Linked DNA regions of Drosophila melanogaster. The protein of the gene in region 2 purifies or fractionates together with the protein of the main gene of each other region. This does not show direct contact. Each region holds a gene or a part of one and is shown on either strand. Other genes may lie near its edges.

Evidence for each region.
Region 1: the proteins of ergic53 (region 2) and yellow-f purify together in Drosophila melanogaster (affinity purification with mass spectrometry, with the first as the bait; one large-scale study listed by BioGRID). This does not show direct contact.

The regions. Positions count from the first base shown.
Region 1 is NT_033777.3:12,990,905-12,995,085, forward strand, and holds yellow-f (yellow-f), read right to left. Parts: upstream 2,298-4,181; 5' UTR 2,242-2,297; coding exon 2,079-2,241; intron 1,892-2,078; coding exon 1,562-1,891; intron 1,496-1,561; coding exon 840-1,495; intron 779-839; coding exon 638-778; 3' UTR 545-637; downstream 1-544. Other genes in the region: yellow-f2, read right to left, coding at 2,552-2,692, 2,760-3,415, 3,524-3,913, 4,030-4,181. UniProt on the Drosophila melanogaster protein: Tautomerization of L-dopachrome with decarboxylation to give 5,6-dihydroxyindole (DHI). Also catalyzes the tautomerization of the methyl ester of L-dopachrome and dopamine chrome. May play a role in melanization reactions during late pupal and adult stages.
Region 2 is NT_037436.4:8,533,457-8,538,554, reverse strand, and holds ergic53 (ergic53), read right to left. Parts: upstream 3,579-5,098; 5' UTR 3,550-3,578; coding exon 3,369-3,549; intron 3,182-3,368; coding exon 2,463-3,181; intron 2,388-2,462; coding exon 1,912-2,387; intron 1,665-1,911; coding exon 1,539-1,664; intron 1,474-1,538; coding exon 1,437-1,473; 3' UTR 542-1,436; downstream 1-541.

The DNA of each region.
Region 1 (4,181 bases), on a different chromosome or scaffold from region 2:
ACTATATAGTCAACTAGAACTGGTAGAAACATTTCGCTATATTACGTACTACACACTACATATATTAACTATGATCGAAACTACTTAAAGGACTTAGGTGTAGCGTTGAGGAACATATACAAAAGCAACCTATATATTTTTTGCAAAACTTTATATAAACTCGTACATATATATACAAATTGAATAGATATATATATATATATATATATAGATCTATATACACCATATGTATAGCTGACACTTTGAAGGGCTACCAAATTTACACCTCGAATTTGTTTAGATGCGGAAAAGTTATGAGAAATTTACAACATGAAATTCAAGTATTTTAGGTTAACATATACACGCGTAACCCTTACACACACAACTGTGCAACTTAGTATCCTTATGCAATATTGGAGTGCCTCTGATTTTGTTCATTGATGTTGTTTTCTTTCATGTTTTCATTTGTTTCGTGCGAAAAGACATACGCATCTGTCGTAACATATAAGATGTGATAAAAATGAGTACTCAAATTTAGGCAATTTTAAACGATACATATGTAAATGCTTTTTGATTTATTTTATTAATAAGTTTCCGTGTGTTATTTCGATAAACATATTACTTATGCGAAAAATTCATTAAAGCAATTCCACGCAAATCACTCACAAACTGTTCCCCTCTTGGCCAGCAATGTCGACTGCCTCCAGATTCGGAAATTGTACTTCTCCACATCCAGCTTGGAGTACACAAAGATGGGCATGGAGTTGGACATCACCCAAATGTATCCCTCCTCGTCGATCTAAAACAACAACGCACTTAACCTTCGTTTTCGTGTTACAAATAGAAAGGGATGAGCTTACGGTCAAATCGCTGGGATAAATCATCTCCGATGAATTGGAATAAACGGAGCCATGGTTTTCCGTTGAGAACGGCTTGCTGGTTTTCCAGCAGCCCACTCCACTCTTCTGGACCTCGGCAAAGAAAATCACCCCGGTCCGCGGATCGTATTTATGCATTGTGGACTGGGTGGACGGACCACGAGTTCCCAGAAGATGGAAGTCGTCTCCATGATCAGAACGTGCTGCATTGAATTCCTGCTGCAAGACCCTGTTGCTAACCACAAACTCATTCGTGCTGGCCATAGGATGGAAGAAGACATCCCTGCTGCCATCGGGCTTATATGATCCCAAGGTCGCCGAGAAAATCCCGTCGTCCCAGCGGAAGGTCTGCCCACCAATGTTGAGATTATCAGAAAGGGGATCAAAGTTAAAGAAGCTGTGCTCGAAGGACCAAATTCTATCGCTTCGCAGGTGATAGACGTGCAGTCTGCGATTGACCAAATCCGGAATGTAGGCATAGGCATCGTTGCACCTCCGAGCGCCCACATCGATTGTGATGCTGGCTAGTCCACGTCCGATCTCCACTATGCTCTGCGGAATCTCAAATCGTTTCAATAAGCGATCGTTAGCCAAATCGATCACCCAAATGCTAGGATGTCGAATCTGCTGGCGATTATCTGATGGTTATATAATATTATTTTAACCTGGATCACCTTGCCTATAAAGCAAATGATTATACTCACTGGGAAACTCCAGCATTCCGGTGTCGACGAACCAGAGACGCCCACAGACATCCACTGAGGTTCTATAGACAGACACTAGGTTCTGCTCGCTCGCATTATACTGATTCACCGCCAAGTTGGGATAGGCCCGTAGATGGGGACTCTGACTCCACCCATCCTTGGCCAGATCGATGTAGTTTAAGGTGGACGGAATGCCCGGCTGTCGCCGTGGCACGGTGACAAAGAGGCGTCCTCGAAAGTGGGTTACTCCTTGGGGCACGTTGTTGTATTGGATGAAGGATCCTGAGGATGAGGAGCCTAAGCACTTGCGGGAGTTGTAGAAATGCGAATCTTTGTCGAACGAATAATTGTGATATATATACATATTATTCGTTATAAAAGTGACGATAAAATGGTGATTAAAATAATATTCATATTACAACCATTTCATAATGTTTTGTGGAAAAACTTAGTGATTCACCGACATTTGCTGATGTTTGAAATTGAACATATTTCAATTGGATATTTTTGGAGTTACCTGGAATGCAGATCCTGTTCCACAAATCCTTATAGCCATCGCCGCGATTGTAAAAGTCCAACTGCTTCCACTTGAAGACCTCAATCATGGGATCTCCATCTGCAGAGATTAGCAATTGGAACCCTGAGATTGCGCACAGGAGCAGAACGTCCAGCGATAACATTTTATAAAATTCCGGTCGTTCGCCTTTCCTGGCTGAAAACCCACTTGTGACTGACTGACTCCTCAGCTTGGGTTCAACTGAGTTAAACGTGCTCTGCGACTCAAAAATGAGCTCAGAATGTAAAGTGATAAGAGCAGTCACTGGGATTCCCAAGCTCTTATTTTCCATGTCTCTTTATTCAACTTTTAAGATTTGTTGATAATCTGAAGAGTATATTTGTAAAGCTAACTATTTATTCGAAAATTTCGTCATTCTTACTTATGTATGTATTTTTAATTAAGTAACAAATTCAACAGGAATTCCACACGAATCACTCACAAACTGTGCCCCTCTTGGCCAGTGAAGCCTTCTGCTTCCAAATCCGGAAATTGTATATACTCGTGTCCAGTGTGGAGTAGATGAAGATGGGCATGGAGTTGGACATGACCCAAATGGTGCCATCCTCGTCAATCTGCAATAGTAAGATGAGATGTATAACTTTTTTTCTTCAACTTTTTTATCCAAAACCATTTGCTTACCGACAAGTCGCTGGGATAAATCATATCCTCGGCATTGGAATCCACAGAGCCATAGTTTTCCGCCGAGATGGGCTTGCTGGTCTTCCAGCAGCCCACTCCGTTGCGCTGGATCTCATCGAAGAAGATCACCCCAGTCCCAGGATCGTAAGCGTGCATCGTAGACTGGGTGGACGGACCACGGCTTCCGAGTACCCGGAAATCGTTCCCATGATCGGAACGTGCGGCGTTGGATTCCTGCTGCAGAACCCGGTTGGAGACCACAAACTCATTCGTACTGGCCATGGGATGGAAGTAGGCATCGCGGCTCCCATCCAGTTTCTGGGCCCCCAAAGTTATTGAGAAGATGCCATCGTCCCAGCGGAAGGTCTGGCCGCCAATGCTGAGATCCCCGGACAGCGGATCGAAGTTGAAGTAGTTGTGCTCGAAGGACCAGATTCTATCGTTTCGCAGGTGATAGACGTACAGGCGCCGGTACACCAGATCCGGAATATAGGCGTAGGCATCGCCACACTGACCCGCCTTCACATCCACGGTGATGCTGGCCAATCCGCGACCCGTCTCAGCTATACTCTCCGGAACATCGAAGCGCTTCAGCACCTGATCCGTGGCCAAGTCAACTACCCAAATGCTGGGACGGCGGATCTGTTGGCGGTTATCTGGATATGAGAATCATGATTGAGTTTTTTATATTCTTGGTCACCAAATTAGATTAATACGGATCGATCCTGATCTTTTATATTACATGTCAATACATGCCAACTCACTTGGATACTCCAGCATTCCCGTGTCGATAAACCAGAGACGCTGGCATGCATCCACGGAGGTTCTGTAGACGGACACCAGATTCTCCGCACTCGCGTTGAACTGATTAAGCGCAAAGTTGGGATAGGCCCGCAGCTTGGGGCTGCGATTCGATCCGTCCTCGGCCAGATCGATGTAATTCAAGGTGGATGGGATGCCCACCCGTCGACGAGGCATCGTGACAAAGAGGCGGCCGCGGAAGTGAGTGGCTCCCATGGGCACGTTATTGTACGGAATGTAGGAGGCGTTGGGGTCGTCGCTGTCGGCGCGGGAGCTGACCACTACCGGTGTATCGCGGGAGGTCATAATCTTACGCTTTCGACGAGAATACTTTCCAGGAAAGACAACCGGAGCTAGTTGAACAATAAAAAAATAGTACATAAGTAAATACCAATAAATCTATCTAACAAGGCTCGCGAGATTGCTATTGCTGAATGAGAACTAGTAATATCATATTATGAGTACTAACCTGAAAAGCTGGGCCTGTCTTTCCTTCCGCCCGAGCTTAGATGGCCATCTCCGCGATTGTAAAAGTCCATCTGCTTCCATCGGAAGACCTCTATCATGGGATCAGCATCTGCCAAGGAAAGCAGCTGTAACCCTGAGATTAAACTTAGAATC
Region 2 (5,098 bases):
CCACTTGGAAACTGGTCCTGCTCCTGCGCAGTGAAAGTATATAGGAAACGGAGCACATAGGCGAAGCTACCATCCAACCGCACACCAGAACTGTGTAACCCATTCCCCGATCCCGTAGAGAATTTATTGCATGGGCCGCGACTGCCGTTGGCTTCTGTCCATCTATCTTTGGCTGTGCTTTTCCTGGGATTTTCCCCAATGCGATGGAATGGGTACTCAGACCACAGAGGACCTGCCCACAATGCCACCATTGGCAGTTACATTTTATGGCCAAAGTTCACCAGAACCCAACTCGTTCCCCAGCCCCACGCATTCTGGCGACCAAGTGGCGCCATTTTTGCCGCATTGTCATCGATGGGAGGATGAAGATGGGGATGGGCAACTGACAGGGATTCTAGTTTATGCTTGCGAGGACTTTTCAAGAAATAAACTTTTTCCTCTGTCGACATCAGCGAAAATAATATCGCATTCGGAAAAGTATAAAAATAAAATGAGGACGCAGATTAAAACTATCAAGTTGAACAGTTGGAGATAGATTTTTCTATAAATTGATTTTTATTTTCACTTTAAACATTTCTATCGAGACTGGAATGGACAACATATATAAAAACACACTTCACTTCAATTGTTTTATAATTTATCAGTATGTATATTAAGATTATTCAGTAGAAAACTTCCTTACATCGCACCAGTGACGATGCGAACCGAACAAAAACTTAGTGAGACAGTTCATCATAATTATTAAATTAATTCACTTTCTGGCGTAATAACAAAAATGCTGGCTAACTAGCTTTGTTGACCATTTGGCGCATGAAAATGGGAAAAAAGATTTATGTTGCCAATTCAGTTTCAAGAGCCGAGCCTGATGGATTCATCTCAACTCTAAAGTATACAAGATATTACAAAAATTTGCTACGTTTACGGAATTTTCGTACTTATATAGATTTTGCCATTTTTATTTTTATTTTTTTTTAGATAGATTTTCTTGTGCTTCTTATAAATGCCTGCACACATGATATGCAGAGTTGAGAATGGAGTGAAACTTTCGACTTGACTTGCTAAAACAAATATGAAACATCTTCTGTTGGCTATTACTAAGGGAAGTTTGTCTTGTGGCTTCTTCGACGGTTTCTTCGTTTTGTATTGCGTGGCATTGTCATGAGGCATACATCATTGATCAAATTTCTTGTTCTTGCTTTGATTAAGTAACGACTTGAGTTTGTATTCGTGACCTGACTTCTTAAACAGACTTCTATTTAAAAAACAAACAGTTACACATAATGGTAGAGCATGCTACGCTGAAGTCTTAAATCTTTCATTTTAACTAAATTTAGTTGCTGCCTAGTCAGGTGTGCGAATCTGTTTCCTCGTGATTTCTGTGGGTGTATGCTTGTGTGTTTGTTATTCGTTACGATCCCAATAAGTCGCGAATTCGCCTAATAGAACTTTTTCGCCTGTGCTTCGCTGCGGTTTCTGCAAGGAATAATAAGTTAGATTGTTTAGTTTCGAATCCACGCTTAAAGATTCCATGAACTCACTTGAAGACGTTGTAGATGAAGACTAGCAGCAGTTGCACAACAGTTACGCTTAGGAACAATGTGACTCCAACGCAATTGCCCGTGGGACAATTGGCCACCTGCGCTGCTCCCTGTGGCGCTGCCAATCTGCAAGGTAAGGGAATGCATATTGAGTATCAAGGAGGTACTTAAAAGATGACAATAAAGTATAATAGTCTAAAACTCATAAACATGTTCCTCTGAATCAAACTTGTTAAAACTCTAATTTCATAATGTGGAATACGAAAAATTAGTATAAATATGGCTGAAAAGGTTAAAATTAATTCGAGCTCAGAATAACTTCGATGACAACAGCTTTAGGAAACTTAAAATAGACTTTGAGCGTATTCCTCACCTTTGGCCCACGTGGGTGATGCCCTGCTTGACCTGATTCATGCCATCGCGCATCTCGGCGATGAGCGTTTGTACATCATAGCCGGTGGATTGGATTTGTGCTGTGGGCGCATGCTTCTGATTCGTTTGAATGTTATCAGTGCGCACATTGATATCGCCAACCAGTTGACGAATCTCGCGGATGGAACTGAGCAGCATGTTCTGATTAGTGAGCAGAAGATCTACATCGCTCCTGCTGACTGCGCCAACGGGCAGCTGTTGCTGTGGCACTCCGCCGGCGGCGGGCGGAGGCAGAGCCTGTCCAGCATTACGTGAGACCAGCGACAGCGTGGTCTCCTGGCGGCCAATAATCTCATCCACTTTGCGGGAAAGTTCGCGTAGGTGATCGGCAATTTGGCTCTGACCCTGCCAGATCTGACGCAGCTCACGCTGGTTCTCCGACTCGTAGAACTCCTCCCAGTCCTCCTCGTCTTTGTGCTGTGGGATTATACGAAAGTTGATTATCAAAACTAGCGATAAGACATCTTTATCAGCTGGCTGCGTGGCAATTACCTCGTCGGGATGGTCCTTCTTGTACTCCTGCTTCTGTTTCTCCAGTTTATCTTGGTATTCCTTGTACTCTTGCGTAAGCTTCTCCTGGTTTTCCACCTTGGGCTGCTCCTGAACTTGTCCAGCGGCATGCAACGACGTGGTCAGGAAATGGAACACATCGTGGTCATCGGCCAGACCGCCCGTGGCGGCGGAAATGCCAAAGTAGCCGTTCTTGGGCAGATTGACGCCATCCGCTCTCAGACACAGCTCGTAGTCATCGTTGTTGTTGGACATTCCGTTGTGGATCATGACGGTAAGCACGTTGTTGTAGTACTCGATTCGCGCCCGTGTAGGGAAGGGCTTGTTACGGAAATCCCTGAGGCAACCGCTCAGGAGCTGAGTGGTTCCATCTTCGGCATGGTCATACAGCTTGGTGCCATCATTGAGCACGGCACTGATGTAAGGATTGTTGTGCTTGTTGTCATTATCGAAGGAATCGAACATGATGGCCAGACCATTCCAGCGGTCCGAGGATCCGAACACAGGCCCATTGTAGTCACCCTTTTCCGTGGTGTACCAGAAGGCCAATCCATCGGCTCCGATCCTGCCACGTCCCGTCACCCGGAACACGATCTCCACGTCCCACCAGTCGAAGTTCGTCTGTGACTTTGTCCAGATGGCACCCTTCTGTGAGCGCAGCGATGGCGCCACGCGCACACTTTCCGAACTGGCGATGGCATCTGAAATGAGGAGCAACAAGTTGTGGCTATAGAAACACCCGAAACCGTGGTCAAAACGACATCCAAACAAAGTGCCTGCGTGTACACTTGGCCGCCTCGCGCCATCTCGCTCGCACCCATGGCCGCAGACCAGCAGCGAGTGGGCCAAAACAACTGACGTGGAGCTGCGTCTTCCACTCGTACTCACTTCCCCCGTACTCCCAAAACGGCACGGTGCCGTCTTTCTGTGCCAAATACGGCGGCTTGAACGAGTACTTGTACTCGAAGCGACGGTGCACGCCCACGGCTCCAGGACTCAGATTGCCGGTCGCCTCGGAGCTGGGATTCCACGCCAGGAAGCACAAAATGGCCAGGAATGTGGGCCGCATCTTTGCAATTATATGTTGACAACTAGTGGTGGGTGGGCGACGATGGTGCAAACTGATGATATCGATAACCAGCCGGCACCGATAGGCGGTGGTATCGCACTGGATGTTCTAAAAGCATTGTATAATTTAAAATCAAATATTATTTTATGTATTGTCTACCATTAACAATTAAGGTAATATAATATAAATTGATTAGAACATTTATTTAGGCCATCCTTCGTATATAAATGTTGAACTTAAATAAAACCAGCCATCCTATAACAATTAACTTCAGCTTAGATCACAATTTAAAATTCTATAAGATAAAAGTTTTTCCATGCATTCTAAGAAACAAGAACCAAGTGATCTAAAAAATATTCAGGCAGCGACAATACAATCGCTATCGATTTCGGTAGATTTTATATCGATATCGCAAATGCCCACCAAATTCAAAAGATCTTGTTATCACTTTATGATGTTGAGGTGGAAAAACATTTATTTTGAAAATTTAAAGTGTTTACGTCCCGTTAGAAAATAAACATAAATATAGCAAAATACGCGCCATTCGCATGTGCTTACATAGATACATGTTTATCAATACGTTATTGTAAAATTATTTCGTTAGTTGTTTCAATTGCCTTTTGCGTGATATCACCAAAGTAGTATTACATCCATATCTCCAAAATTCCTTTAGCACAGTTAGCACAGTGTGTGTATATATGTTTACATCTTTATTCTTTGTTTCTGATTTCCTACCGTTTGTAGTTTTCGTAGAGCTTACAGCTAGAATTATTATAGGTTTTAATGCCTCGGTAGCACATAGTGTGGGCTTCATAAAATATTGTTAGTTGCTCAGTTTACACAAGTGATAGCTTTGTGTGCAGATCGGTGTGTGGGGGATAGTCATTAGGGGCGATCGTGCCGCAAGTTTCGCCATTTTACAAATGTTAGTTACTTATTTTGAATCACAATCACTTTCGTGTTAGTTCTGTGCGCGATCAAAAGAAAAACTCAAATCGATTAAAACAAAATCAAAGTCTTTGTTTTAGCTTGATTTATTACAAAATTATAATTAAACGAAGGCGCTACAGTGTAGCGAAAATCTAAATTATGCATGATGGTGCAATATAATAATCTTTTCAATTTATTACAAATACGATAATAAATTAAGCTTAAATGGGTTTTGTGTACATTTCCCGAAAGAGGAAATATGCGTTCAAGTCGTTAAGTACTGTAGAAAATCATAACAGCGGTGGACATACCTTTATTTTGGGTTTAGAATGTTAAACTCGCATAAAGTAAACGTGCGCACTCTAGACTACAAAATACAAAAAGTATATGTATGTATACATATCCTACAATATATATGTATATTTATATATAATATATCGTAATTTTTAGGTTCTCTTTCGTGTATAAGATCAGTAATTAGAGGATTGTGGGATCCAGATCCAATCCATTTTTTGTTACTTCCTTTTCTCATTTGACAGCATCACGGCATGCTTTTCAAATGTTTTCATCTAAATTCAAGATCACTTTATAACCTAGCCAATTTCAAGACATCTTACAT